Canis lupus familiaris: one gene and its partners. The protein of the gene in region 1 purifies or fractionates together with the protein of each later gene. This does not show direct contact. Links are inferred from orthologs where the notes say so. Each region holds a gene or a part of one and is shown in the gene's direction. Other genes may lie near its edges. The genes, in order: COP1, COPS6, ETS2, TRIB2, MVP, ETV4 and ETV1.

The links.
Region 2: the proteins of COP1 (region 1) and COPS6 purify together in Homo sapiens (affinity purification with western blotting; 3 studies listed by BioGRID and IntAct, with this or other methods). This does not show direct contact. The link is inferred for Canis lupus familiaris from reciprocal best matches to the Homo sapiens genes COP1 and COPS6.
Region 3: the proteins of COP1 (region 1) and ETS2 purify together in Homo sapiens (affinity purification with western blotting; 3 studies listed by BioGRID and IntAct, with this or other methods). This does not show direct contact. The link is inferred for Canis lupus familiaris from reciprocal best matches to the Homo sapiens genes COP1 and ETS2.
Region 4: the proteins of COP1 (region 1) and TRIB2 purify together in Homo sapiens (affinity purification with mass spectrometry; 4 studies listed by BioGRID and IntAct, counting the BioPlex papers as one, with this or other methods). This does not show direct contact. The link is inferred for Canis lupus familiaris from reciprocal best matches to the Homo sapiens genes COP1 and TRIB2.
Region 5: the proteins of COP1 (region 1) and MVP purify together in Homo sapiens (affinity purification with mass spectrometry; 3 studies listed by BioGRID and IntAct, with this or other methods). This does not show direct contact. The link is inferred for Canis lupus familiaris from reciprocal best matches to the Homo sapiens genes COP1 and MVP.
Region 6: the proteins of COP1 (region 1) and ETV4 purify together in Homo sapiens (affinity purification with mass spectrometry; 5 studies listed by BioGRID and IntAct, with this or other methods). This does not show direct contact. The link is inferred for Canis lupus familiaris from reciprocal best matches to the Homo sapiens genes COP1 and ETV4.
Region 7: the proteins of COP1 (region 1) and ETV1 purify together in Homo sapiens (affinity purification with mass spectrometry; 4 studies listed by BioGRID and IntAct, counting the BioPlex papers as one, with this or other methods). This does not show direct contact. The link is inferred for Canis lupus familiaris from reciprocal best matches to the Homo sapiens genes COP1 and ETV1.

What each region holds. Positions count from the first base shown.
Region 1 is NC_049228.1:23,215,932-23,220,177, forward strand, and holds the start of COP1 (E3 ubiquitin-protein ligase COP1), read left to right. Parts: upstream 1-1,414; 5' UTR 1,415-1,740; coding exon 1,741-2,162; intron 2,163-4,246. UniProt on the Homo sapiens protein: E3 ubiquitin-protein ligase that mediates ubiquitination and subsequent proteasomal degradation of target proteins.
Region 2 is NC_049227.1:9,446,745-9,450,888, reverse strand, and holds COPS6 (COP9 signalosome complex subunit 6), read left to right. Parts: upstream 1-1,255; 5' UTR 1,256-1,280; coding exon 1,281-1,404; intron 1,405-1,625; coding exon 1,626-1,751; intron 1,752-1,944; coding exon 1,945-2,076; intron 2,077-2,403; coding exon 2,404-2,492; intron 2,493-2,581; coding exon 2,582-2,644; intron 2,645-2,950; coding exon 2,951-2,998; intron 2,999-3,075; coding exon 3,076-3,190; intron 3,191-3,283; coding exon 3,284-3,376; intron 3,377-3,468; coding exon 3,469-3,569; intron 3,570-3,675; coding exon 3,676-3,816; 3' UTR 3,817-3,934; downstream 3,935-4,144. UniProt on the Homo sapiens protein: Component of the COP9 signalosome complex (CSN), a complex involved in various cellular and developmental processes.
Region 3 is NC_049252.1:33,537,870-33,540,737, forward strand, and holds the end of ETS2 (protein C-ets-2), read left to right. Parts: intron 1-107; coding exon 108-323; 3' UTR 324-2,366; downstream 2,367-2,868. UniProt on the Homo sapiens protein: Transcription factor activating transcription. Binds specifically the DNA GGAA/T core motif (Ets-binding site or EBS) in gene promoters and stimulates transcription.
Region 4 is NC_049238.1:9,260,533-9,264,182, forward strand, and holds the end of TRIB2 (tribbles homolog 2), read left to right. Parts: intron 1-2,854; coding exon 2,855-3,323; downstream 3,324-3,650.
Region 5 is NC_049227.1:18,042,502-18,046,914, forward strand, and holds the start of MVP (major vault protein), read left to right. Parts: upstream 1-1,489; 5' UTR 1,490-1,645; intron 1,646-4,413. Other genes in the region: PAGR1 (PAXIP1-associated glutamate-rich protein 1), read left to right, coding at 738-937. UniProt on the Homo sapiens protein: Required for normal vault structure. Vaults are multi-subunit structures that may act as scaffolds for proteins involved in signal transduction. Vaults may also play a role in nucleo-cytoplasmic transport.
Region 6 is NC_049230.1:19,589,937-19,594,350, forward strand, and holds the start of ETV4 (ETS translocation variant 4), read left to right. Parts: upstream 1-1,526; 5' UTR 1,527-1,570; intron 1,571-1,789; exon of another isoform or gene 1,790-1,978; intron 1,979-2,100; 5' UTR 2,101-2,151; coding exon 2,152-2,211; intron 2,212-2,392; coding exon 2,393-2,486; intron 2,487-2,688; exon of another isoform or gene 2,689-2,714; coding exon 2,715-2,762; exon of another isoform or gene 2,763-2,891; intron 2,892-4,414.
Region 7 is NC_049235.1:28,726,799-28,730,448, reverse strand, and holds part of ETV1 (ETS translocation variant 1), read left to right. Parts: intron 1-164; coding exon 165-233; intron 234-1,841; coding exon 1,842-1,910; intron 1,911-3,650. UniProt on the Homo sapiens protein: Transcriptional activator that binds to DNA sequences containing the consensus pentanucleotide 5'-CGGA[AT]-3'. Required for olfactory dopaminergic neuron differentiation; may directly activate expression of tyrosine hydroxylase (TH).

The sequences.
Region 1 (4,246 bases):
AGAAAGTAGGAAGGTAGGAAGGTAAGCAGCAAAGGCTGATGTGGGGATGACAGCCTTTTGATGGAACACTGCTCAGATGAATGGCTAGGTCTTTTTGTTGGGCTTTCATCAGGGCCCCTCTGGTTCAGTTCATTCAGCATGGATAAAGGTTCCTAGGGAAAGGTCTTCAAAGGACAGAATTAAATCTGGGATCTTGGGCAGCCCGGGTGGCTCAGCGGTTTAGCACCGCCTTCGGCCCAGGTTGTGACCCTGGAGACCCTGGATGGAGTCCCACGTTGGGCTCCCTGCATGGAGCTTGCTTCTCCCTCTGCCTGTGTCTCTACCTCTTTCTCTCTCTCGCTGTGTCTGTCATGAATAAATAAATAAAATCTTTAAACAAAAATAAATCTGGGATCTTTCCCTCTAAGAACCACAGGACGAGGATTGGAAAAGAATACCGAAAACAACCCAGTTGTTTCTAATTTACATCACCCAGAATCTTGGGGAGTCTCAAAATGGCAAATGAAGAACCTGTATCCAATTTTCCGTATTCCAAAAAGCTACCAGAAATTACACATTTCTTTTCTTTTTTTCGTGGTATTAAGCGCCAGGTTTCCTTGTTTTGTGGTAGAGGATATCAGATCCACATTAAACCGAGATTCTGGCTGAGCCGTGGTCAGATCAGATAGAACTGGTTTTCTCGTCATCGTCATGCTTAATTTGGTAAATTCATGTTTCAAGATGCAAGACAGCACGGTCGGACCAATAATAATCGATAACACTTGCTACGATGTTTGCAATTTACAAAGCACCGGTGACTGACTTCATCTTAATGGACTCCTCACAGCCGCGTGGAATGAATGGCTTAACAGCAGGGCCCAGACTCGTGGAGGGTCAATGCAGGGCTCTTCTCAGCCGCTCAGAGCCCCGGGTCTTTCCCGTAGCGTCCACGGAGGCTTCAGAAGGCGACTCGGAAGCACCTGCCATGCCCGGGCCGCGGGCTGCAGCCGCGTCTCGGCCTTCAGGAAGGCGGTCGCCCCACGCAGTGCTGCAGCCGGTCCGCGCCAGCGCCGCTCCGAGCGGGGGGCCGCGACCCGGGCGGCAGCCAGGGTCGGCGCCCAGAGCGCGTGCGCAGTCGCTTCGGCGCGCTCCCCTCCCCGCCAGCTCCCAAGCGCGGGCGCCACCCTATCATTCATTCCCCTCTCCGCAGCCCTTTCACCCTTTGGGACAGCCCCACCCCCTCCCTCCCTCCCTCCCCTCCCCCTCCCCCTTCCCCCCTTCCCCCCCGTACGTCACCCGCCGCTCGGCTGCGGACGAGCGCAGCCCGCGTTGCTAGGCCGCCGCCGGGGGCGCGCCGCGCGCGTCCCAGCCGCCCTCGAGGTTGTCTCCGCCGCCGCTCCCGCCCCTTCCGCCGCTCGCGCGCGCGCACGGCCGGCCCTCGGCGCGCCCCGGTTGGCTGCGGCGGGGCTCGCGGCGGTGGCGGCCTCGGCGGCGGCAGTGGTTTCTCCTCCGCTGTTTCAGTTTCCTCCGCCCCCTCCTCCCGTCGGACGCGGCTGTGTGCTCGCCTTAAACAAAAAAAAAAAAAAAAAGAAAAAAGAAAAAAAAAGATCAACTTTATTGTTCCTCAGCCCCACCTCCCGGCGCGGCGCGGCGCGGCGCGCGGCCTCAGGATGCACTGAGGTTGAGGGGAGGTGAGGGGAGGGAGGCGGCGGCGGGTCGCGGTCCCTCTCCGAGCGCCCGGCCGGAGGTGGGGGAGGCACGATGTCCGGGAGCCGCCAGGCCGGGTCGGGCTCCGCCGGGACCAGCCCCGGCTCCTCGGCGGCCTCCTCGGTGACTTCCGCCTCCTCGTCCTTGTCCTCCTCCCCGTCGCCCCCTTCGGCGGCGGCGGCGGCGGCGGCGGCGGCGGCGGCGGCGGCGTCCGGCGGGGCGGCCCAGGCCGCGGGGTCGGGCGGCCTCGGGGGCCCGGCGGCGCGGCCTGTGCTGGTGGCGGCCGCCGTGTCGGGCAGCGGCGGCGGGGCGGTGTCCGCGGGCCAGTCTCGGCTCAGCTGCGCGGCCAGGCCCAGCGCCGGCGTGGGAGGGAGCAGCTCCGGCCTCGGCAGCGGCAGCCGGAAGAGACCTCTGCTCGCCCCCCTGTGCAACGGGCTCATCAACTCCTACGAGGACAAAAGCAACGACTTCGTGTGGTGAGTTGGAAGAGCATCGCCCTGCCCGCCGCGGCACGAGGAGTTTGCGCGGTGTGGGCTGGCGGGGTGCGGCGGGAGGGTGGTCTAGGTGGTGCCGGGGCGGCGTCTGCAGACCCTCAGGCCGGCGGAGGACGTGGGGGTGACTGCGGAGGCCCGGGCTGCTGGGGAGGACGTGAGGGGAGTCCAAGGAAGAATTACGCGTCAGGGGGCCGAGAAGGAGGGTCGGGTAAATGGTGGTGCGTAAACGGGGAAAGTTGGGCCTTGCTTTTTTTTTTTTTTTTTTTTTGTTTTGTTTTTTTGTTTTCTGGTGAATTTTCTGCTTTCTGGTGAATTCGACACCCTGTCGGTCCGGATTTCTTGTTGAACTTGTAAAAGGAGAGGATTAAGCTTCCTGGGAGGCCGAGGGACGGAGTTGGTCAAATTTGCTTATTGGAAGTGTGGTAGATGGTGCTCCAGACGTGGGTATGGATATTTTAAGGAGAAGTAGTATTTCATGTCAGTATCCCTCGTGTGTGTGTGTATAAATATCCTCCCACTTCAAAGGGTAGGCCACTTTTAAATCTGCTGTTGAGGCTACTGTAGTCATAAAAATCTGTTCACAAAAATTTCCACTTGTCACTAAATGCCTTGGACGCGAGGGAACCACATTTATTCAACAGCATCCATGTGTCGGATGTAGCTGTACTACATTTGTGTAACAGGTTACAGTGCCCTGGAACTTCCGATCTGAGGAACGCCAGGTAGTAGACACCTTGTCATCATAGTTGGCATCTTGAACGATACACAGTAGTATACCGTTAGGATGTCTGGCAGAGTTGGGTTATCTATATTAAGTGAGAGATGGAGTGGATTGTCTTGCTGGAAGTGTTTTGGGATTTCTCATTGGGTTTTTGTATCCAGAACCCAATCCAAACAGTAGGAGTAGGAGAAAGGAATTGCTTCTAGTTAAGTGAGAACGGGTAGGATTTTGCACTTTTCTTTTGGAGGAAATTGTTGATAGACTTAGAACATGAGTAGGAAGTTGGCTTGCGCTGTCATTATAGGGGAAGTTGATTTACCTCAGGGTTGAAGATGATGTGAGTTGGCATCATTAAGTAAGATTGGGCTACACGATGGAACTGTAGGAAAGATAATTGATTAGAGTTTCTAGGTCTTGCAGTAAAATTATCTTCACTCCTATTTCTGCTTTGGTCTTACATTACTCTGGATTGAGACAATTAATTCGTTTCTCATTGAAACTTGGCTATAATTGTTATTTATAAATAATTTAACTAGCTTATGGGTGGGTCTAAGAGGTGTTTATGCTCATACCCAGTAAGTAGGGTGCCATATGATGAAGTAGAAGCTGATGAAACAAAATGAGGATTTTCAAAAATTCTCTTTCTCTTTTTCTCTTTCTTTTTCTTTTTCTTTTTCTTCTTCTTCTTTTTTTTTGTTTTTTTAAGATTTATTTATTCATGAGAGACCCGGAGAGAGGCAGAGACACAAGCAGAGTGAGAAGCAGGCTACCTGCAGGGAGCCTGATGTGGGGACTCCATCCCAGGATCCCCGGATCACACCCTGGGCTGAAGGCGGCGCTAAACCGCTGAGCCACCCGCGCTGCTTGGATTTGTCTTTTTAACCACCATTTGCATTTTAATTAATTAATTATTTTATTTTATTTTTAAAAGATTTTATTTATTTATTCATGATAGACATAGAGAGAGAGAGGCAGAGACAGGCAGAGGGAGAAGCAGGCTCCATGCCGGGAGCCCGACGTGGGACTTGATCCCGCATCCTCAGGATCGCGCCCTGGGCCAAAGGCAGGCGCTAAACCACTGAGCCACCCAGGGATCCCCACATTTTAATTTTTAGAGGGTTAAAAGAAAACAAATATGCCAGCATTCCTATAGGTGCACTGAAATAGTAGTGAAGATGTGAGAAATAAGAGAATCAATAATTTATTCAACAGATATTTATTTGGCACAACTGTCTGCCAGGCACCATGAGTTGTATATTGACTATTTTGTAGGGAATTAGAGAGCCATAGGATAATATAAGCAGTTGGCATTGGTTTTTGTTGTTGTTGTTGTTGTTCTTTGTTT
Region 2 (4,144 bases), on another chromosome or scaffold:
GGAGCCTAGCAAACTCCAACTTAATTTTATTTCGGCCACCAGGATTCTCTTCATGGACTGACATAATTCTGGATCATAAAGACAATGACCATTTGATTGAGGGTGCTGCTCTCCAGCTCCCCCACAGTGGGCTGCGTGTGCTATGGCGGGCTGAACAGTGGCCCCCAAATACAGCCAGGTCCCAATCCTTGGAACCTGTGAATGTTACTTTACAGGGAAAAAGAGATTTTGCAGATCTGATTGAAGTATGAATCTTCGGATGGGGAGATTATCGTGGATTTATGATTAAGGATCTTCAGATGGGGAGATTATCCTGGGTTATCCCAGTGGGCACTGTATATAATGCCAGGTGTCTTTATAAGAAAGAAGCAAGGAGGGGTTTTATCGCACAAGGCGATGTGACTACAGAAACAGAGGGACAAAGAAAAAGATTTGAAGATGCTGCTAAAACACTGGAACTGAAGGAAACTGGAACACATTTCCTGGTACCTGCTGGTTGCGGGCACTGGAGTGGGCTCTGCAGGCTCAAGGCACAGGTCTTCACCTGCTTTCTGAGAGCTTTCACTTTGGATGTGGCACAGGCATACACTGAAAGAACCAGCTAGACAAATGGGTAGGGGAGCAAGGGGGAGTAAACGCAGTGCACAGCGACGTGCTTGGGCGTAGGAGTGGGGAGGGGTCGGAGTGGGCTGGGTTTGTCCCAAGCGAGTTTTGAAAGGCTGCTGGAGATGGAGGATAGAGGGAGGCCGGGAAGGGCTGGAGTGCTGGGCACGTTCCTAGTATGTAGGTAATACGGTATTTGCAAGGAGGAAAGGACACGCCGGTGAACCATTCGCGACCAGGTTTCACCTCAGATTATCCACTCAGTGAAATACCTATTTAGGTCCTTGGCTGTCGGGTTGGACGCGGCAGAGGCCCGCACGTGGGCGTGGGGCATACGAAGGGAACTGCCAGGGGAGCCGGCGCGGCTGAAGCACGAGGACCGAGGGCCGGGTGGCAGGCAGGGTCCTGACCCTGCGGGGCCTTGCACGCCATGGCCCGGGCGCGGATCTTGTTCTGAGGGCAATAACGTGGTTCTTCATTAATTCTGCAACAGTCTTAGGAACTGGGCCGTTTTATCCCAGTTTTACTGACGAGGACGGTAAGGCTGGGAGCGCGCAGGGTGAAGTAATTTGTCCCAGATCTGTCACCGCCGCAAGCGCGTGGCGGACCCGGTCTTCCGAAGTCCACCCGCTCCGGGGCCGCCCGCCCCACCCGCCGAGGCCCCGCGCCCACTGAGCATGCGCCGCTGGCCTACGGAAGCCGACGGGGAGGGGGCGGGGCCGAGGCTGGCGGGCGCGGGGAAAATGGCGGCGGCGGCGAACGGGACTGGAGGGAGCAGCGGGATGGAGGTGGATGCGGCAGGTAACGGGCCTCGCGGAGGCGGCCTCTGGTGACGCCCCCCGGGGAGCGACAAGGCCCCCCTGGACTCCCGGGAGGAGTCAGCAGTCGGGACGGCGATCCCGCCCCCTGGACTAACTTGCGGGAGGGATGTATGGCTCCGGCTCTGCCGTCTCCCGCTCGCAGCTCCGGGGCAGAACGTGCGGCCCCGACGCTCACTCGTCCTCCTTTTCCTCCACCCTCAGTAGTCCCCAGCGTGATGGCCTCCGGCGTGACGGGGAGCGTCTCCGTCGCTCTTCATCCCCTCGTCATTCTCAACATTTCAGACCATTGGATTCGCATGCGCTCCCAGGAGGGGCGGCCTATGCAGGGTGCGTGCTGGGCGTCAATCTCCAACCTCCTCTCCTTGGTCACCTGCCCCAAGTAGGGGTCTTTGCCCCCGCCCTTCCTGAGGCCAGTCCCCCCTCCCCAGGTCACCGTGTCTCCAGCATTGCGTTCCCACTGACCTCGACCCAGGGACCGGATTCTTAACCCTCCTGTTTTCCGTGTCGCTCTCTCCCCCAGTGATTGGGGCGCTGATCGGGAAGCAGGAGGGCAGAAATATCGAGGTGATGAACTCCTTTGAGCTGCTGTCCCACACCGTGGAGGAGAAGATTATCATTGACAAGGAGTATTACTACACCAAGGAGGAGCAGTGTGAGAGGGGGATAGACTCGGGGGTGAGGAGTGGGAGTGAGAAACAAAGGCAGAGTGGGGAAGATGGAGAGTGATGGGGAAAAATAGGAGAATGGGACAAGAACTGTGTTTGTGTGAGGAGAGTATCACAAAGGATCTCAGAAAAGGAACAGTTTAGGTACCCACCCCCCAGACAGTAATAGATGAGAGAAGATAGAAGGGACTAATTATTGAGAACTGAGCCAGGAGTTGAGCGGGGAGGGGAGAAGCTGATGAAAAATATACCAGGAGTTTCCAATGAAGGGAGGGTGATTTAAAGAATGATACCCTGTGCTCTTTCCCCTGCAGTCAAACAGGTGTTCAAGGAGCTGGAGTTTTTGGGTTGGTATACCACCGGGGGGCCGCCTGACCCCTCTGACATCCACGTCCACAAGCAGGTACACATGCATGCTGGTGCATGCTGGGGCAGGGCTTGAGCAGGGGAGGAAAGATGGGCATTGACACCCACATCCCCATTCCCTTCCAGGTGTGCGAGATCATCGAGAGCCCTCTCTTTCTTAAGTTGAATCCTATGACCAAGCACACAGATGTGAGTAATACTGACCCCATGCCCACTTAGGCACGGTGCTGGACAAGCATGACAATCTTACCCTCCTCCCCTGCTGTGCTTTACATCTCTGTTGGGCTGAATCTTCACTTGAGGTGAATTCTCCGCTCAGCAGCTGTGTGACTTTAGGTTAATCATTTAATCTCAGAACTGCTTTTTGCCCTATGTATAAGGTGGGGGTTAGCCTTACTTCAGTGGGCCCTTGGGAAGATTGGGAAAATCTGCAGAAGAGCCAGTACGGTAGCCCAGGTGCACTTGATGTAAGAGCTGTCTCCCGTTGCTTTACAGCTTCCCGTCAGTGTTTTTGAGTCTGTCATCGATATAATCAATGGAGAGGTAATGCCCTGCCTTTCAACCCCGCGGTCCTGCTCCTTGGCCTTTCCTGCTCCTGACTCTGCTTTTGTGCCCTGTAGGCCACGATGCTGTTTGCGGAACTGACCTACACTCTGGCCACAGAGGAAGCTGAACGCATTGGCGTCGACCACGTGGCCCGAATGACAGCCACAGGCAGCGGCGAGAACTCCACAGGTAAGGAAGACTGGAGGTGTTTCCTCAGCAGTGGGGGGTGGAAAGCGTGGCCAGGTGCGTTTTCAACCTTGGCCTCTCCCTGTCTCCCCCCAGTGGCCGAACACCTGATAGCACAACACAGTGCCATTAAGATGCTGCACAGCCGGGTCAAGCTCATCTTGGAATATGTCAAGGCCTCTGAAGCGGGTAGGACAGGCGTCTCCCTGGCACGCCTACCACTTTTTCTCACTCCTGAGGGTGACCTCATCCACATTAATGCAGTCCTTCTGTGCCTTTAGGAGAGGTTCCCTTTAACCATGAGATCCTGCGGGAGGCCTATGCTCTGTGTCACTGCCTCCCTGTGCTCAGTACAGACAAGTTCAAGACAGACTTTTACGATGTGAGTCTAAAACCCAGGCTGGGGACGTGGGGTTTGTACATCATGTCTGCACGCAGGACCCGGGACTCAGACATTCCCTGGGCAACTGGTTTTCTGTTCCTTCCAGCAATGCAATGACGTGGGGCTCATGGCCTACCTTGGCACCATTACCAAAACCTGCAACACCATGAACCAGTTTGTGAACAAGTTCAACGTCCTCTATGACCGACAAGGCATCGGCAGGCGGATGCGGGGGCTCTTCTTCTGAGAGGGTACTTGAAGGGACGATGCACAGGTTGGACAGTGGTCCCACAGGGGAGGGGCATCACACTCCCTTTAGAGAAACCTCCTGTTGATAATAAAAGAGGAGCAGCCCCTCAGCACCCCTTGCAGTGGCTCTGTCCTCTCTGTTGGGCACCACACGGCTTTCTCAACTCGGATCTTGAAAGGAGGCCCTTGGTTCCAGCCTTGCTCGGCAGGACAGCCTGATTGGGAACTCTCTGCCACTTGAGGTGACCCCGTCCTGTCAGGTGGATGCATCTATACTGGGCCAAAGGCTGCCTGCTTCCACCCAGGCGAGCTCTGTTCTCTAATGT
Region 3 (2,868 bases), on another chromosome or scaffold:
GTGCTCAGGTTCTCTCGGGGCAGCAGGCGTGAGAAGCCCCATCGGGAGCAAGTCGTTCCCTTTCTCTTAATCGCACATTTGGACGCTTTCCACCCGTGTCCGTCCAGGTGGCCCGCCGGTGGGGAAAGAGGAAAAACAAGCCCAAGATGAACTACGAGAAGCTGAGCCGCGGCTTGCGCTATTACTACGACAAGAACATCATCCACAAGACGTCGGGGAAGCGCTACGTGTACCGCTTCGTGTGCGACCTCCAGAACTTGCTGGGGTTCACCCCCGAGGAACTGCATGCCATCCTGGGCGTCCAGCCGGACACGGAGGACTGAGGCCCCCCCTGTGCTGCGCCGGCAGCCCCCCGACCCACCGACTGCTCCAAGGACCCTGAAAGGCGGGATCGCACGCGTCCAGGAAAGTCCCCACGAAGCAGTGGCCTTATTTCCTCGGAAACCGCGCTTTTTCACCCAAAGCAGCATGGTTTCCCACTTCTAAAGCCTGCTGACGGGAACACACTATTTATGATGCTCTTAGAATGGCCGAGAAGGAAGCGCTGGGAAGCCGTCCTGGCTCCGAGCAGGCCGCGCGGCAGGAACCTTCAGGCCGTTGGATATTCTCCAAAGGAGCGAGCGAGCATGCCTCGGGCACACGTTTTTTTGTTGTTGTTGTTGTTGTTGTTTGTTGCCTTTTTTTTTGCCTTTGGCAGCCAGGAATCACAAAGGCAGAAGTGGTCTCTTTGGTTCAGCCAGGCGTGCCATTTCAGAAGTTAGTTTGTATATATGACTGTAACCCTAATAATTGTTGTCAGAATCCTCTCAGAGTCCTATTTAACGAGAACTGTATATTGTAATTTAAAATAATTCTGCAAATGTATTTGAAATGAGAACGCAGACGTCCGGTGTTCACTGCGGTTTCCAAGAGCACCAGCAGCGTTTTGCAAACAGTCTGCCAGGCCAGACGAAGAAGTTGTAAAGTCTGTATTATTTACATTTGATATGCCTACAGGTATACGTCTAACAGGGTCAGTCCCTGTTTCTGTTTTGTTTTGCCCAGATTATTATCTGGCAAGGACTTTGTACATTTGGGAATTTTTATAAAAACACTTAATGTTATTATCTGGAGGCGCATCTCGCCTCTGCTTTCTCCTTAATTGTAATGTAAAAGCTATAAAGCAGTATTTTTCTTGACAAATGGCATATGTATTCCATTTCCGTGCATGCCTTTAAATCCGTTTCTACACAAAACTTATTTTATTTTTTAGTTCGACTGTGTTTCCCCAACAACTAACCTCCCCGACCAGCCATTTCCTTCCCGGGTTCCACCTCCGCGCCCCAAATTATTCTGTATGATTAAAATAAGAATGCTATTTTTGGAAATAATGTGGCTCCTTTTCAGAGAGCAGGAGGGATTTATGTAGCAGCTACTTTTACTGCAGAAGTAATTCACTGGAAAAAAATGTAATTTGTAAGAAAGCTTTATTTTTATCTGCGTCCCGTGTGAAGTTAAACATATTGTACTGGGAGCTGAAGCCTAGGGCAGGTGGGAGGCGGGAGGGTGATCTTCACGGAGAGGTCGTGAGCAAAACCCGACTTGTCCTGTCCTTGCTCACCTGGCGAATCGTGGGCTGTCCGGACACGATGCTACTCCTGTATGCGCAGTACCCACAGCTCCGTGTTCTTGTTTTCGTGGATGCAGAATGCCCAGAGGCAGAGAGAGGACAAGCAAGATGGGAAAGAGAATCCACTGGAGGATTTGATGTGAGAAAAACGTTTTGCTCACGATGGAGAATTTTCATGGTGGTTTCGAAGGAGCCCCCTGGGTGGGCGTGCATTCGGGATGCTTGGAAATGATCAAGTCATCCTGGTTTCAGAGCCAGACGGGCTTCACCTGCAATGTGGGAGGGCACTCGGAGCAGGGGCTGGTGTCCCTAGAGGAGAGGCCATCTGTGTAATAAGGCTGAGAAGCTGGGTGGCGGGGCCTGCTGAGAAGAGCAACCCCGGAGCTGGGGGACCAGTCGCTCAGTACCTACACGAGACCATTTCCAGGGTCTAAGCACAGGATGTTTTTCTCAAGCAGGACATGTTTATCACTCAGACATCTGTTTATAACATCAACAGACATGTGACTGGGAACATCTTGCTGCCAAAGGGAATCTTAGCCATTGGCTCATTTTATATGGGGTTGAACCACATGAAATTGCCAATATTTGACTTTTTTTATCTACAAAGTTGGCAGTTTCATGTGGTTCAACCTAATAGTTACAGAAACTAAAGCCCATTATAAACCTTTGGTGTGGTAATGAACAGACTTCAGTATAAAGATTTTGTAATCTGGCCTTTTCTTTCTCAAATAATAAAGTATTTTGTTTATATAAATGCTTCCTTGTAAGAATCCTCATTCATCCCACCCCAACAGGGAGGAGGGGAGGTGGAGTGAGGATAGTGAACCCTGATCCACTGTCCATTTAGCCAATTTTACACACAGGTCACCTAGTAAATCATGACCAAGCTACAACCAACTATAGCTCTTTCTTAAGGACCCCAAAAAGTGTTCCCTTAAATCAAAAAATTCTTTAAGAAGGGATTAGAATTTAAAAAAAAAAAAGGGGGGGGGATTAGAATAGAAAGATACAGGCACCTTGTCTTTGTTGGGGGATTGGCAGAGATAACAGAAGAGTTTGTAGGATGCTTATGTGAGGAACCCCGTTAGCATTCGAACTTCAAGGACTTTCTTCAGGATGCCTGACATGGCTGAGCTGACTTACCAAGAGGTGAGAGTGATGGTCCTCGGAGATGGGTTCTCAAACACACTTCAGAGTCCATCAGGATGCCAGCAAACAGGTGGGTTATATCAGAGGTGTGCTGGAGTCCCTCCCCA
Region 4 (3,650 bases), on another chromosome or scaffold:
TTTCTCTGAGCACTTTTCCTATTCTCTGCCCATTGGAGCCCTGTGACACTTTGGGACAATAGGGTAGAGGCTATGATGTGCACTTTTGAGATGATGGAATCAACTGGTCTGAATGACAGTGACCTCATAGGCCCTTGTAGGGCCTGCTACTCTCTGGGCTACCCTGACTCCAGCCCCTCATCCCTGCTCCATGTCATCTTCGTGGCAAGCCTTCATGATGTGATGGAATGGGACTGAGCCTCTGGGGTTTAACGTCTCCAAGAGCTCTGCTGTTGGAGGCTTCCAGCAAGGAGAATAGGACGATTTCCATTTTAAGCACTGAAGGGTCGCAATACTTAGCTTTCCACACAGGGGACGGCAGACCAGGGAAATGGGACATCTTGGGAGGCCCCTGAGCCCAGGAGAAATGCTGGTCTCGGAGCTTCTGGCGCCGGGTGGGGGATAGTCTTCAGTCTTGAGCAAGTCACGTTGTGTCCTAGTCCTCAGCTTCGTTCACTTGTAAGTTAGTATAGTTCATTTTACGAGTTTAACTTATGTCCCTAAGTATTTACTGAGCACTTATTTTTGTGCCCAATGGTCATATCAAGCCCTGCTGGGTGAGGATGAGTGCTGGACCCCAGAGTCTCAGAAGTCGGTGTGGAGTTTCTCTGCCTCTGTTCATGCGTGCCTCCGGGAGAGCCCTGGAGCCTGTCAGCTCAGTCGTCCTTCAGTGGCACTGGGAAGATTGACACACATACCCCTGCACACACATAAGAGAAACCAGTCACCTACGTCTTGACACCTAGAGGTCGAGGTTACAGGTAAAACTAAGGCAGATCGTTATCAGGACAAGGACCAGCCCCTGGGAGTGTGACGGGCCAGACAGGAGGCAAGTTCAACAGAAAATCTTGGAAAGAAGAAGGGCTTGCGGATGCCCTGGGTGGGTCAGCGGTTGAGCCTTCGGCTCATGGCGTGATCTCAGAGTGCCGGGACCAAGTCCTACGTCGGGCTTCCTGCATGGAGCCTGCTTCTCCCTCTGCCTATGTCTCTTCTTCTCTCTCTCTGTGCCTCTCATAAATAAAATCTTTAAAAAAGAAGAAGAAGAAGAAGAAGAAGAAGAAGAAGAAGAAGAAGAGAGAAAAGAAATACGAAGAGCAGAAGAGAAGAAGAAGAAGCACGAAGCAGAAGACGACGAAGAACGAAGTGAAGACACAAGAGAGAAGAAGAAGAAGAAGAAGAAGAAGAAGAAAGGAGAAGAAGAAGAAGAAGAAAGAAGAAGAAGAAGAAGAAGAAGAAGAGAAGAAGAAGAAGAAGAAGAAGAAGAAGAGAAGAAGAAGAAGAGAAGAAGAAGAAGAAGAAGAAGAAGAAGAAGAAGAAGAAGAAGAAGAAGAAGAAGAAGAAGAAGAAGAAGAAGAAGAAGAAGAAGAAAGAAGAAGAAGAAGAGAAGAAGAAGAGAAGAAGAAGAAGAAGAAGAAGAAAAGAAGAAGAAGAAGAAGAAGAAGAAGAAGAAGAAGAAGAAGAAGAAGAGAAGAAGAAGAAAGAAGAAGAAGAAGAAGAAGAAGAAGAAGAAGAGAAGAAGAAGAAGAAGAAGAAGAGAAGAAGAAGAAGAAGAAGAAGAAGAAGAGAAGAAGAAGAAGAAGAAGAAGAGAGAAGAAGAAGAGAAGAAGAAGAAGAAGAAGAAGAAGAGAGAGAAGAAGAAGAAGAGAAGAAGAAAGAAGAAGAAGAAGAAGAAGAGACGAAGAAGAAGAGAAGAGAAAGAAGAAGAGAGAAGAAGAAGAAGAAGAAGAAGAGAAGAGAAGAAGAAGAGAAGAAGAAGAAGAAGAAGAAGAAGAAGAAGAAGAAGAAGAAGAAGAAGAAGAAGAAAAGAAGAAGAGAAGAAGAAGAAGAAGAAGAAGAGAAGAAGAAGAAGAAGAAGAAGAAGAGAAGAAGAAGAAGAAGAGAAGAAGAGAAGAAGAGAAGAAGAAGAAGAAGAAGAAGAAGAAGAAGAAGAAGAAGAGAAAGAAGAAGAAGAAGAAGAAGAAGAAGAAGAAGAAGAAGAAGAAGAAGAAGAAGAAGAAGAAGAAGAAGAAGAAGAAGAAGAAGAAGAAGAAGAAGAAGAAGAAGAAGAAGAAGAAGAAGAAGAGGGGCTTGCGATGAAGTTGTCAGCCTTGGAAGGGCTTAGTTAATAGTAATGCATTCCTGTAGGAACATTCCCCAGCTTTGCCTATGTCCTACAGAGAGGCAGCTTGGTAGTGGCGAAGGAGCAACAGGTTGACTAAGGAAGGTGTGGGGCCAAGTCTTCTCTATTTCCTAGTCAAAAGGCATTGGACAAATTACTTAAACTCCATGAGCCTTGATGTTCTTACCTGTAAACTGGAATCCTAAAATCTCAGATATCTAACAAAAGGACTGTTATAAAGCCAAAATGCCATTGAGTGAAAGGTCATTTTAGAATGTATCATGTCAACCAGAAGCTGGCCAGGGCTATGGAAAGAGCTACTGGGAGCTTCCCAGTTGGTTGGGTCTGAGTTCAAATCCTGTGAATCCCCATCACCCCCTAGATGTATCTGAGAATAGTAGGAACCTCCTAGTTCCTCATCACTGAGATGGGGCCATAATCATGTCATTTATGGTCTATTTACTTGCTGGAGGTGTGGGTCCCCCAATAGCTCTTAAGCTTCATGCAAATTCCCTGTCACTTATTCACTCCTGGGCCCCCCCCACCATGGAACAGGGTCTGGCACCTAGAAGGCCCTCAGTAAGCTGTGTTTGGCCAACCAGGTTGAATGAATGAATGGATGATCTCGGAAACATTAGAGCAGAAGCAATGACGCTGTGATGAGATCCATGTGTGTCAGTATACCTGTAGGAGCTCACGCTGTCCTCTCTCTTGCAGGACTCGGGTCAAGCTGGAAAGCCTGGAAGATGCCTACATCCTGCGGGGGGATGACGACTCCCTCTCCGACAAGCACGGCTGCCCCGCTTACGTAAGCCCGGAGATCTTGAACACCAGTGGCAGCTACTCGGGCAAAGCAGCCGACGTGTGGAGCCTGGGCGTGATGCTCTACACCATGTTGGTGGGGCGGTACCCTTTCCATGACATTGAGCCCAGTTCCCTCTTCAGCAAGATCCGGCGTGGCCAGTTCAACATTCCAGAGACTCTGTCACCCAAGGCCAAGTGCCTCATCCGAAGCATCCTGCGGCGGGAGCCCTCAGAGAGGCTGACCTCGCAGGAAATTCTGGACCATCCTTGGTTTTCTACAGATTTTAGCGTCTCGAATTCAGGATATGGTGCTAAGGAAGTGTCTGATCAGCTGGTGCCGGATGTCAACATGGAAGAGAACTTGGACCCTTTCTTTAACTGAGCTCATGCCCCACAGAGACTTAGCAGGTACCAGGAGCGAGAGAGGGCAGTGGAAAGTCCTTCCAGAGGACACGCATCGCCTGGCTTGGTAGCAAGAAAGACACTGACACTCAAGTTTCTCGGTTCAAAGAAGGAGAACCTTCAAGGAGCTAGCTGAACATGTAGCAGGGGGGGCGAGAGATGTGGGGTGGGGGTCTGGGGTCGGGTCAGTGCCCCTGGAGCTCCTCTTCCCTGATGTAGCCCCCCGGAGACCACCCCTGTCAGTTGGGCTGCTTCCGCCTACCCCACTTTTCATTTGTTCCAAAATAGTTGCAGATCCCGACAGAAT
Region 5 (4,413 bases), on another chromosome or scaffold:
GAGAATCTTAATCAGACTTCACTCCCAGCCCAGAACCCATCCTGAGGGGTGGATCTCACAACCCTGAGATCACAACCAGAGCTGAAATTAAGAGTCAGAAGCCCAACCGACTAAGCCACCCAGGCACCCCCAAGCCATCATTTCTTTTGCCTGGATATTTGCCATGGCTCGTAACTGGCCTCCCTGCTTCTCCTCAGCAACCAAAATGATCCTTTCAAAATATAAATCATGTCACTACTTGGTTTAAAATTCTCCAAAGGATTCCATTGTTGGGGGAAAGAGCATATCAAGAGGGAATCCAAACACCACAACTCCCCCTGACTTTTTTTGGGCCGCCAAAGTTTCCAAAGATAATTTATTTCCGTTTGACCTAAGATATCCAAACTTTCATCATGGCCTCAGAGTCGTTTCTTGAGCCACAACTTTCCTTCTCCCTGCCATACCCCAGCTCTCTATACCCTTTGAACAAACCTCCCTGTTCCTGCTCTGGGGCCTTTCCACTTGCTCTTCCCCTGCCTGGATATCTTTACCTTGGTTTTCACATTACTGGCTCCTTCTTGTAAGTCAGCCCTTTACTGCTTACCCCATCTGAGGCCCAACCTCAAATCCTACAACCTCTGTGACAGAGACCTGAAAATCTCTGTTTAATGAGCTCCCTAAGCAATGAGTAATATGTAGGCAGGTCTGGAGCACAGCACCTCACTCCCGTCCACATTTCTTACCTTCCTCTTCTCCAGGAAGTTCCGCCCGGAGCCAGAAACGGGAGGCCCGCCTAGACAAGGTCCTCTCAGACATGAAGCGACACAAGAAGCTGGAGGAGCAGATCCTTCGTACTGGCAGGGATCTCTTCAGCCTGGACTCAGAGGACCCCAGCCCCACCAGCCCCCCGCTCCGGTCCTCAGGGAGCACACTCTTCCCCCGGCAACGGAAATATTGAGTGTTGTTGCAGCCTTTAGCGTGCAGAGCTTATACCTTCTGGGCTCTCCTTCCCTAACTCTGGGCACTGGGAACTGGGCAAGAGGAGAGAGCTCCCAAGCTCCCAACACCGCACCTTGCCAGAAAGAGGACATGTGTGTGTATTTATGCTTTCTGTTGAACATTTATTTGGAGACCTGGGCTGAATTTTTGGAATCTAGAATAAAAAAAACACAAAGTTATTTTCTCCTAGAGGGTGGGCTGCAGCAGGAACCCAGTTCTGGAGCAGCCGGATCAGGATCCTAGTCACTCAGGTGGGGAAATGAAAATTAAAGCCACATGGGACAGAGATGAGCTCAGCACCTGCCCCCAATTCTCGTTCCAGTGCTGCCAGCTGGCTCTGAGGCGGGACCTTCCTGAGGGCTGAAAGGGCTGCAGTGCCTTCAGCTGCCAGAGGAGCCGCCCATAGGAAAAAAAGGAGACAAACAGCTGCAAGGGCTCTTTAAATGGCCAAGCCCCACCCCCAAGCTTGCCCTCCTCTGTCAGGAAGTGATCCCTGGGGTTGGGCCAGGGAGTTCCCCCATCTGAGGGATCTGTGGCAGCGGACACCCTTCCGGGTATACTTCGTACTGGTCCTAAACACCCCTAAACCAGTGGTGGGGCCTTGTGTCCCTCCAGGCTCTCTGAGCCTGGTCCTGCCTTCTAGGGCCGCTTGCTTCTGCCGGGGCAGGTAAGACCTCTCTGACCCTGAGGAGGAAGAAGGTGGGTGGAGGCTTACGTTCCTTGTTGGATTTTTTTTCTTTTTTCTGTATTTTGAAAGTAAAGGTTGGTCAACTTGTTACCTTGCCAACACTCCCTACCCCCCAAAATCTCAGGCCTCTCGACTTCAGGGGCTCCCACATCAGAAGTAAGGGCCAGAGGAAAGTGGGTCCATTTATACTCCCTCCTGGGTCCCTGCTGTCTGCTCCCCCTTGGGGCTGGCCTGGGCTCTGGCCTGTCCTCTAGAGCCTTTATTTATTTTTTAAAGTTTTTTTTTTTTTTTTTTTTTTTTTTTGTTCATGAGAGACAGTGAGAGGCAGAGACAGGGAGAAGCAGGCTCCATGCAGGTTGCCCGACGTGGGACTCGATCCCCGGACTCCAGGACCACGCCCTGGGCCAAAGGCAGGCGCTAAACAGCTGAGCCACCCCGGGATCCCTCTCTTGAGCTTTTAGAATGTGATTTCTCCCTACCCCTGCCCCCGGGATCCTTCATCTCTGCCAAATGAAGCTTTCCTATTGCCTCACTAAAGGCTATGCCAATGTGGGACCATGTGGGAAGTGGTTAGGAAAGCAATTTGAGGTAGGCTGGACTTCTAGAAGGTGTGGGGGTTGGTTGTTGAGCAAGGCTCTTTTTCTCTTTGGGAGAAATGAAGGAACCCAAAATTCCTTTGGGCTTGCCAGTCTGTGATTGTGGACATCTTAGGGTTGGCTCTTCTTGAGTGAAGTCTGGAGGGGTGGGAGACAGTGGGTTGAGACAGATGTCCCTGTGTTGTCTGCTCCTTGCCCTGGGGGGACCCTGGATTGTGAGGGGGAAGCCTTCTGTTACATGGGGTGCCAGCCTGTGTGCTCCCTGGGAACTCCTGCCTGTTTCCGCCCTTGGCACACAGGCCTGACCTGGGGTGAAGCTTTCTGGGCGAGGCAGCTCTCCAGAGGCAGGAGCTGGTAGAGGAGCCACCTTGAGTGGATGCCCCTTGACCCCCCCACCCCCACCCCGGGCTCCAAGAACTTGGGCCTCCTTGTTTGTTGGAGGCTACCTGCAGCGCCCCCCCCCCCCCCCCGCCCCCCGCAACTCCCTCCCTGGTCTTAGGTCCCTGTTTTGTGCCAAGAAGCCAGGCTACTTCCTGGTTTGGGAGCTCTGCAGGTAGGGTAAGAGACAGGATTCTGACCCTGTCCTTTGACCGTTGTGCAAAATTCCTTAACTTCTAGGTTCCTGTGAGGATTAGATGAATGAGTTAAAAGGCACACAACACCTAGCACAGGTTAATTCCTTAATAAGTGGGAGCTGTTATTTGGGGGCTCTTGCCAAAGATACATGTTCCGGAGCCTCCTGGAAACTCAGCTGGTCTGGGTGAGGCCTGGGAATCCGCATGAACAGGAGCAATGCTCTCAGCTGGGTCTTATGATGGAGTGAGCTTAGAAAACACTGATCTGGATCAGGAATTGTGAAGCCTGGTTCCTGGGTCACTTCTCAACTAGGCAATCATTGCCTTCAGTGATGAGCATTAATTAGTGTCCGGGAGATAGGACAAGAAGCATTCTGAGCTGGCAGATGTGTTGTGGCTCCAGTGAGGCCACCAAGCTGCTCCTCCCACAAAGTAGTTGGACTGGAGCTCAGATAAGTCTTCCCTAGGAAGGAAAGTTCCTAAAACTTTGCTCTTACACAGTTGTGGTCAGTATGAGACAAGTTCTCAAAAGTCCCCTAAAGCAGAAAATAATTTCCCTAAACTAAACCAGCGTATAAACATCTGTGCATAGTGAAGGCTTCTGGCCTTCCCCAAAGTCTAGAATGTTTAAAATCAGGGAAACTGCAATAATGAGCCCTTGTTTATGCTAGGCATCGTGCATTTTCCTAAACCTGAGGTTTTTTTTTTTTTGTTTTTTTTAAATTTTTATTTATTTATGATAGTTACAGAGAGAAAGAGAGGCAGAGACACAGGCAGAGGGAGAAGCAGGCTGCATGCACCGGGAGCCCGATGTGGGATTCGATCCTGGGTCTCCAGGATCGTGCCCTGGGCCAAAGGCAGGCGCCAAACTGCTGCGCCACCCAGGGACCCCTAAACCTGAGTTTGATAGAGGTGATAGTGGCAGGCTGGGCCACCGGCCTCCCCTCCAACTTCAGGCTGCGTGGGGCAGGGGACTTGCATTGGCTAGGGGGTCCCTGGGCCTGGCAGTGGATTGGGCTGGAGGTGAATAACCAAATGCCAAATGCCCTGCCCTTGAGGAGCAGTCTGTAATCTGAGCTTGTCTTTAAATCTCCCTCCTTCCTCCCAGCCCCCTACTTTGAGCCTGTGCACTAGAGATACCCTGTGGCCACTAATCTCTTCAAGCCCAGGAAATAGTCCCTTTTCTTTCCACTTCTCAGTCTAGGACACTCCGGCTCAGAGTTAGCAAGTGGCCCAAGATAATGAGAGTTCAGTCCTTGCTGTGTATTAGATTTAGTGGGGAAGCTTTTAAATATAGTAATGGTCAGGATGCCCGGATGGCTCAGTCTGTGTAGCCTCAACCTTTTTTTCTATTTTTTAAAAGATATTTTATTTAGAGCAAGAGAGAGCACATGTGCAAGCGGAGGGGCAGAGGGAGAGGCAGTCCCAAGCAGACTGCACTGAGCTTTGAGCCCAATGCAGGGTACCATCTCACGACCCTGAGATCATGACCTAAGCCTAAGTCAGGAGTTGGCTACTTAACTGATTGGGCCACCCAAGCTCCCCTACGTTGAACTCTTGATCTCAGCTCAGGTCT
Region 6 (4,414 bases), on another chromosome or scaffold:
CTGTAGATCCAGAGAGCATCTCAGAAAGAAGGCCTGGGGGGTACTTCATGTCCTGTGTGCCCGCATGACTACAGCCTAAACAGCCCAGCTCTTATCAGGTGTCTGCCTTGGTCACAGCTGCCTCCTGGGGGTACCCAGCACTGTGTCTGGCACAATAAATGTTTATTGACCAAACTGGTGAATGACTGAGGGACCAGAGCCTATGACCAGCTCTTTTTTTTTTTTTTTTTTTTTTTTTTTAAGGTTTTATTTATTTATTCATGAGAGACCCACAAGGAGAGAGGCAGAGACACAGGCAGAGAGAGAAACAGGCTCCTCGCAGGGAGCCCGATGTGGGACTCGATCCCCGGACCGGGATCATGCCCTGGGCCGGGATCACACGCCCTGAGCTGAAGGCAGACGCTCAACCGCTGAGCCACCCAGGAGTCCCTGTGACCAGCTCTTTAACTGAGTCCCACCCCCAGGTCATCAGATGCCTTGGGGCTTTTCTCCCTAAGATCTTATGTTTGCTCTGAAGATTAAGAGGAAAGATGGCTGAGCGGGAATTGCGCTTTCAGAGGTCCATGCGGGGCCCTCCGGTTTCTGCGGCAATCAACAGAAAGTGGGTCACAGAACAGCTCCGCAGAGCAGACCCTTGAGGAAAAGCCTGGATTCCGTGCTAACTTACATTTATTGAGGGCCTACTGTGTATCAGTTGTTGTCACAAAGCCTTAATTCATTTAGCTGTGGCCTCAAAGAGCTGTACGGGGGGATGTGGGAGATTGGGGGCTGTAAACTCCAGCTGCGCTGAGTTACCGCAGCCAAGTCACCACCCTTCCCTGAGTTTTCCTTCTCAATCTCTGTAAAATGGAAACAATAGAATCACTTCGCCAGGTTATGGGAATGAAATGAGCACGTGGAAGCGGAGCGCTTCATAAATGCTAGTTATTATTGTTCCTCTGGGCACAAGTCCGCTCGCCTCCCCGCAGGGCGCACACACAGACATGTTCACACTCCCACGTACACGCAGATGCAGAGACGTGTGCAGACGCCAGCCGGGCCAGCCCGAGGAGCTCGCCGAGCTTCGCACAGGGACACGGCGGAGCCCCGCGAGGAAGCCGTCGGGCCCTCGGCTTCGCTCCTTTTCTCTCAGCTCTTTATGAATGAACTCAGGCCGCGGAGGAGTTTATTTTTTTATGAATGGGAGCCCGAGCCGTGAATGAAGCCGGGAGCCAGCCCCTGCGTTCTGATTGGCCCCCGCCTCTGGGAAACTCCGCCCCCCCACGGCCCGGTCGGGCGAGTCTCCGGATTGGCGGGCGTGCCCGGCCCTAGGGTTTCATTCACAAAAGTCAATGAAACAAAGGGAACGGGGTGGTGGGGGGGAGGTAAGGGAGCCGAGGGAGGCAAGGAAATGCACCAATCAGCGGCTCCCCCGGGCTCACAACTGTCGGCGGCGCCCGGAAAACAAGCCGGTGCGCGGGGGACCCGGGGCCGGGGCCGCCTCGCTCCGGCCTAGCCCCGCGGCCCTCGGTGAGGCCCCGGGGCCAGCTCGCGACCCCCCGCCGCTCCAGCTCAGACGCCCCGGCCTCAGGTGAGGCTGCGGGAGGGGGAGGGAGGGAGAGCGTCCGAGACTCCTCGCCTCGCCGCCGACACACGCTGCGCTCTCTAACCGCCGCCTCCGCAGATTCTAGGGCGGGCGGGGGGGGTGTGGGAGGCGCTGGGATTCGGGGTTGGAGGGGGCGCGGGAGTTGTGGGCGTGCGAATGGTGCGCGCCTTACCCGCTCCGCGCGCGAGCGCACACGCACACACGCACACACACACACACACACACACACACACACACACACACGTCTTATGTAACCGAGCCTGGGCAGAGCAGGGCTGCAGAAAGCAGCCGAATCGGCGAGCCCGGCGCCCAGGAGCAGGTGGGACCTCCTTTGGCGGGAGGGGAGTGGTGACGGCGCTCAGCTCGGCAGGCGGAAACCTCCCCAGCGCCTGAGTGAGTCGGAGAAGTTTTGCTGTCGGACCCGGAGCCCCGGACTGCCCCTCCCCGCTGCCCTTACCCGCCCCCACCCCGCTGCCTTCCCTGGACGGTGTGCGAACGCAGCCCCCCCTCCCCAGGTCTCTGCCCCCGCGCGGGGCCCGGGCGGTGCGGCCGGAGGGAGCGGCCGGATGGAGCGGAGGATGAAAGGCGGATACTTGGACCAGCAAGTGCCCTACACCTTCTGCAGCGTGAGCTCCGCGCCGGCCTCCACGCCCGCCCCCGCCCTGCACCCCGCCCCCCCAGCCCTGCCCTGCGGCCCCAACGGGGCCCAGCGCTGCCCGGCCTCTGTGTCACCCCGGGACCCCAGCCCCGCCCCCCAGGCCGGGGGGCCTCAGGGTGACCCGGGGGCATTCTTCCCCTTCCCCGCAGAAATCGCCCGGAAATGGGAGCTTGCGCGAAGCGCTGATGGTCCCGCAGGGGAAGCTCATGGACCCGGGCTCCCTGCCGCCCCCCGACTCCGAAGGTAAAGAGCCGGAGAGAAAACCGTGACCCTCCTCACTTCACACGCCCCGAGGGCCGATCCTGGAGCCACCGCCCTGTTCCCCAAAAGACTCCCCTCCAAGGGACTCTTGATTATTCTTGGGCCCCTACCCTCAAGGAGTGTGTGTGGGAGGGTCACCCGGCTCTCTAGGGCTCCCTCCCTCTCACCATCTCCTTCATCTCACCTCCAATTCCATTATTCACTCCTCAGATCTCTTCCAGGATCTCAGTCACTTCCAGGAGACGTGGCTTGCTGAAGGTGAGTAGTTTTGTGACCTTTTCTATTATTGGGGTGGGGGATGCTCTCTACCCCTGATGTTCCAACCTAACCCACTTCTCTGTCTCTGCCCAAAGGAGCTCTCCAAGGACCCCCCCCAGCCCCCTTACTCCCCTCTCTCCCCAGCGCCCAATGTGGACACTTATATTGATATTTATTTTCTCTGCCCTGAGCCAGGCTTGTGTAACTAGGCCTGGGGATGAATCAGACCATTGTGTGGGGTATTTGCTTATTTGAATGGAACTTGGCCCCAGGCCCGTTTTCCTGGTTTTCCTGGTTGAAATTTTCATTTGCAAAGTTTGTTTGGCTGCAGCCGCCAGGCCGAGGTGTGTGTTGGTGTGTTGGGTTGGGGAGGGGGGCGGATAAGGGACAGGAGGATGAGGAGAAAGAGCAATTAATTTGTAACCTATCTTCAGGAGCTGCCAAAACATTGATTTTCACCCCCTTGGTTTCTCTTCTTCTCAACCCCCAGGGCTAAACAATTTACTGTCTGAGCCAAAAGCACAACAAAAGTTTAAATAATTCTTTTTTGCAGCGCTTTGGCAGAGAGGGCCCTGGGCTCACCCCTCGCCCCCCCCCCACCCCCACATATCCTTGATTGTAATTCTGATGGCAAGTGATCCTCCCTCCTTCTCTCCCGAATACCTCTGCCCCAGGCAAATTCCCCCTACTTTGGCTTAGGGTATTTGCTGGGGGGTTAGCCATGAGCTGGCTGAGGTGGAGTCTGGAGTGGGGCCTCCTCTGGATAGGGAGCTGTGTTCTGAGGGTCTTCTGGTTGGATCCCTTGGTGCGTTTTGGTGGGGCCTCAGGGTGTCGCTGGTGGGGTGGCAGGTAGAAGGCTTATGTTTAGACAGTCTGCGAGGGAAGGGTTAATACCCCCATCTTAGGATCCCTTTATTTAAACACTATGAAAACCTAGAAACCACTATACTAGGAACCCCCTTCTAAGGGCTTTTCTTTAGGATTTCCGTAAAGGATATCCCTCCACCTGGGTATCATTGGTCATTTTTTAAAGCTCAAACCCAGCTCCTCTGGAACCATCTTTAAAATTTAAAAGCAGGAGGTAGAAGGCAAAGACCCCTGACTAGATCCTTAGAGTAAGACCATCTGTCTTGACTACCGTGGTAACCCCAAAATATGTATATAAGCAGAATGACTATTTAGCATAGAGCAAAAGCTCAAGACATGTTGTGAAATTCGTGACCAAATGGCTGGCTATATGGGTACCGGAGGGATCTGGGGATCCGGGGGGTATTGCACACGCCTTCCCCGACTCTGCAAGCCCTGGGCGTCCAGCTCTGAGTTAGGTACAGAGTATATACCCAGTCTGCCCATCCTCCTCCCGAGGTTCCGGACCGGGCTGGAGCTGAAGAACGCAGAGGTGTCAATTTCCACGGTCTCTCAAAGACTTCCTTTCCCAATGCCTGATTTCTCTCCGGCTTGCCAGGCTTCTTGTCTGTCAGCGGAGGGTCCCTGTGCTTCCCACAGTGGGCAGCTCCCAGGGCTGTGATGTAGGGGTGGGCTGAGGTTGGCATGTTGGCAGCAGCTGGTCCATTTTTGCCTGGGTCTGGAATGGGAAGGGGGTGAAAAACGTTCTCTCCACCTTGGAAGCCCCACCCCTTGGCGGTGGGGGT
Region 7 (3,650 bases), on another chromosome or scaffold:
TCAGCTTTCCATTTCTTGTGTGGGCCCTGCCTGAAATGTTAACTGAGTGTTGACAAGTTCCCTTCATGGAGATTCATGTCAGTTTCTTTTATTTTCCCACTGCTCTGTCTATTGATAACATTTTCAGCTCCAAACTGCTCTTTAACTGATGTTTCTTCTTTCAGAAGTGCCTAGCTGCCACTCCATTTATATGAGGCAAGAAGGCTTCCTGGCTCATCCCAGCAGAACAGAAGTTAAGTTTTTATTACTGAAATTCCTTGTAAATATGATCAGAATAATCAGATGTACCAAAGATGCAGTCATTTGATTAATCATCATATTTTATGTTCCCTAAACCACTATTAAAAAACTTTATCTTTTTAAAGTAAAAGGAAGATGTTTCAGTTCATGTTATCTTGAATTTGGTTAACAGGAGTCATGTGTGTATAAACAGCTGAAAAGTGGATTTCTGTGGGGTTTTTTTGTTTTGTTTTTTGGGGTTTTTTTTTGGCCAACAACCACATTCTTTTAAAATAGAACATGTGCTTTATAGATTAGCCTACCTTCCTACTCTCTACTGAAATGTATCTTCGAGGAATTTCAGTTTTGCTTTACAGACCCAAGTCTGTGTTTTGAAATAAAAGAGAGTAGTTTTAAATATATTTGCTTTTAAATATCCTGGATTTTTCATTTTTATATAAGTAATTGCTAGAATGGAATTTCACATCAGAGACCTACAGAAGGAGTTTTTGTGGATGTGTTCATGGTAATCACGTGGGAAAGCTTTGATCTAACGGACTTTGATAACCTACAAAGTAATGAATAATCTTCTTTAGATACATTCCCTATTAAGGAGTTTCTGGAAATGTGTGCATAGTTCATGACATAAACGTTCTGTGTCCTCAGGAAGATGACACAGATGCATCTTTTTAGGTTAGGTCTAATACTGGTTATTTTGTATAAGTGGTATCGATAGAAGTAAATGCTTGTCTTTAAAGAAGAGTATATAATAAGCTGGTAAGTCCAAAATATTTGGGACCAGAAATTTAGCAAAAATGCAGTGCGATTATTGTCACTACTGTTGTTAATATTATGCACTCACTGTAGAGACCAGTACATCTGAGAAAGAAAACTGTGGCTAAAGTATATGAAATTTCTTACTGGTGATTAAGGACGACAATGATTCAGTGAGGGTCACAGTCATGAATACATGGGGGAGAAAATGATTGCTAAAAGCTGTTGATTTATTTTGCATTTTTTTCCATGGACTTAGTTTTATTACAGGGAAAAAAAGCTAAAAAAAAAAAAAAAGAAAATTAAAACTATCTTGTCTGTTGAAGATGAAAACATTAGGAGGTTAACCTGGCTAAAAATTTTTCCAGGGAAGTAAGGGGTAAACAGAATGTGTTTCAGTTTATCAGGAAGTAATTGTGCAAGGTAAATACGAGTAACTCATCTTGATTTTCCTACTATCTCATAAATAACAAAACTTGGAAGAAAATGAAAAAGGAGATGATACTTTATAATTTCTAGGCTTGCCAGTGTTAACCGCTCTGTGCTTGGGTTGGTAATAATATAAATATCTGTCGTGTATCACTGTGTGCTGGGTACTATTCTAAACTTGCATATATTAAACCAGTTATTCCTCACAACAACCCTTTGAGATAGGTGATTTATCATTATTCCCATTCTATAGGTGAGGGAACAGAGACAGTGAGGCTAAACAGTGTGTCTAAGGTCACAGAGCTGAAAACTGGCAGAGTCCTTTTCCTACCCCAAGTTTTGTGCTAATGGCTATATTTTAAATTGCTTGTGAGCTTCATTTCTATCATGAATAAATGTATCCTCTTTTCCTCCCACAGGCTGTATGTTTGAGAAGGGCCCCAGGCAGTTTTATGATGACACCTGTGTTGTCCCAGAGAAATTTGATGGTAGGTTTCTCACTGTGCTTCAAGTTTGAATTTTTCTGAGAAGGAGTGGAAAGATCACCCTCGACTCCCCTGAAAACAGTTGACATCGCGCCCTAACGATTTTTATGCACATCATTTACGATGCATTTAACTCTTGCTAAACTTTGCCTTTTATAAATTCTCTCTTCCTTCCCCTATTCAGAAGCTTTTTCTTTTGTCCCATGAGAGGTCTCATTTTTAAAGATCCGACCAGAGAGTATCATTCTTGCTGAGCTTTGTGTAGAGTAAGAGGGGTCTTTCCTTTGCCCTGCAGAGCACATGCAGCTTGTTGCTTGAGATTTATTGAAAGCTGATCCCATAATTAACAAAGCAGAACAGAAAGCATGCTACTGTGGATGCACAGATGACTAATGCAGCTTCTTTCCTTTTATTGTTCATGAAAAGATGCATTATGGAACACAGGAACAACATAGCTGCCCATTTAGTTAGTGATTGTTAGTCCTTCTTTTTTGTTTTTCCTTTTCTTTCCCTGGGAAGATGTTCATTACTAATGTGCAATTACTTTGTAATTGCTTAAAATGGAGTTAGGAAAGCATTACTTTTTTTTTTTATCACTGTCTCTTGCAGTGAAACAGTCCCAGATTTTAGAAATGAGTGTCAAGTTAGAAAAAAATATTTTTTTTCCTTGACAAAGGTGGTAGAAGTCAGCATCTACGAGGAAGCTTGGGTAAAAAGTGAACAGTTAATTGATTTAGTGGTTCTTCAGAGTGGTCTCCATATTTCCTGCTTTGATTGTTTAACAGGAAATGAGCAGGGACCCTCTGATTAGCTGATTGCACAAACTTTGGGGATCATGGCTGTAATGACTTGGTAGCTCTCAGAAGTTTTTAATTGTCATTATTTAAACAGCAAAGTGCATGCTCAGATTGCTTCTCCATCTCTAATTAGTTTCTTGAAGACTACTCTGTTCCTAAGGCTTTTGCTACTCTGGTCCTTCTCAGAAAGAATGATAATTTGGGAAAGATCTGTTTCCTTAGTCTTCCTTTAAATGGCTAAATTCATTCAAGGTCACAGGGTTAAGCTCCATTAGGAGTCACTTTTTTGGCCTTATTCTAAATAGATGTTAGTTTTTTAAGCTTCGAGTTTCAGTGTGATATGTGCTATTTAGCATCATTAGCAGAGCATCACAATTCTTAAAATACAGCCTTTTCTCTTAAGACAAAGCATAAAGCCTTTACTTTTTGGAATGACCTTCATCAGTTTTTTTTGTTTTGTTTTGTTTTGTTTTTCATTCTTAGTGAGCTTAACGTTTAAAAAAACTCTTGATGACCAGAATGGGCATCTAAGGAAGAAAAAATAGCTCAAAACTACCAATTGGATTATGATATAATCTAACAAGCCTAAGTCACACTAATATTTAGGGGAGCTGTCTATCTTGATTATTTATTCCCTTTGACTACTAAATATTCTTCAATTTTGTACTAAGAAAATATTTTTTTAGAAGATAGTCTTAAATTTTATAAGGAATAGAGAGCAAGAGATTAGAAAAGCACAGAGTTATTTTTTCATTGACAAGGCTAGGATAGCCTGTCACATTTATAGGCAGAAGCAATCTAGAGATTAAAACATTTGATAGTGCTTCACTCTGCATAATTGCTCAGTTACCCCCATGAAAAAATTTGTAAGTCTCAGAAGGAAAAACTGAGATAAATAAAACTGTCATTGAAATCAATATGAAGAGACACTTCTGTATTATTTGGC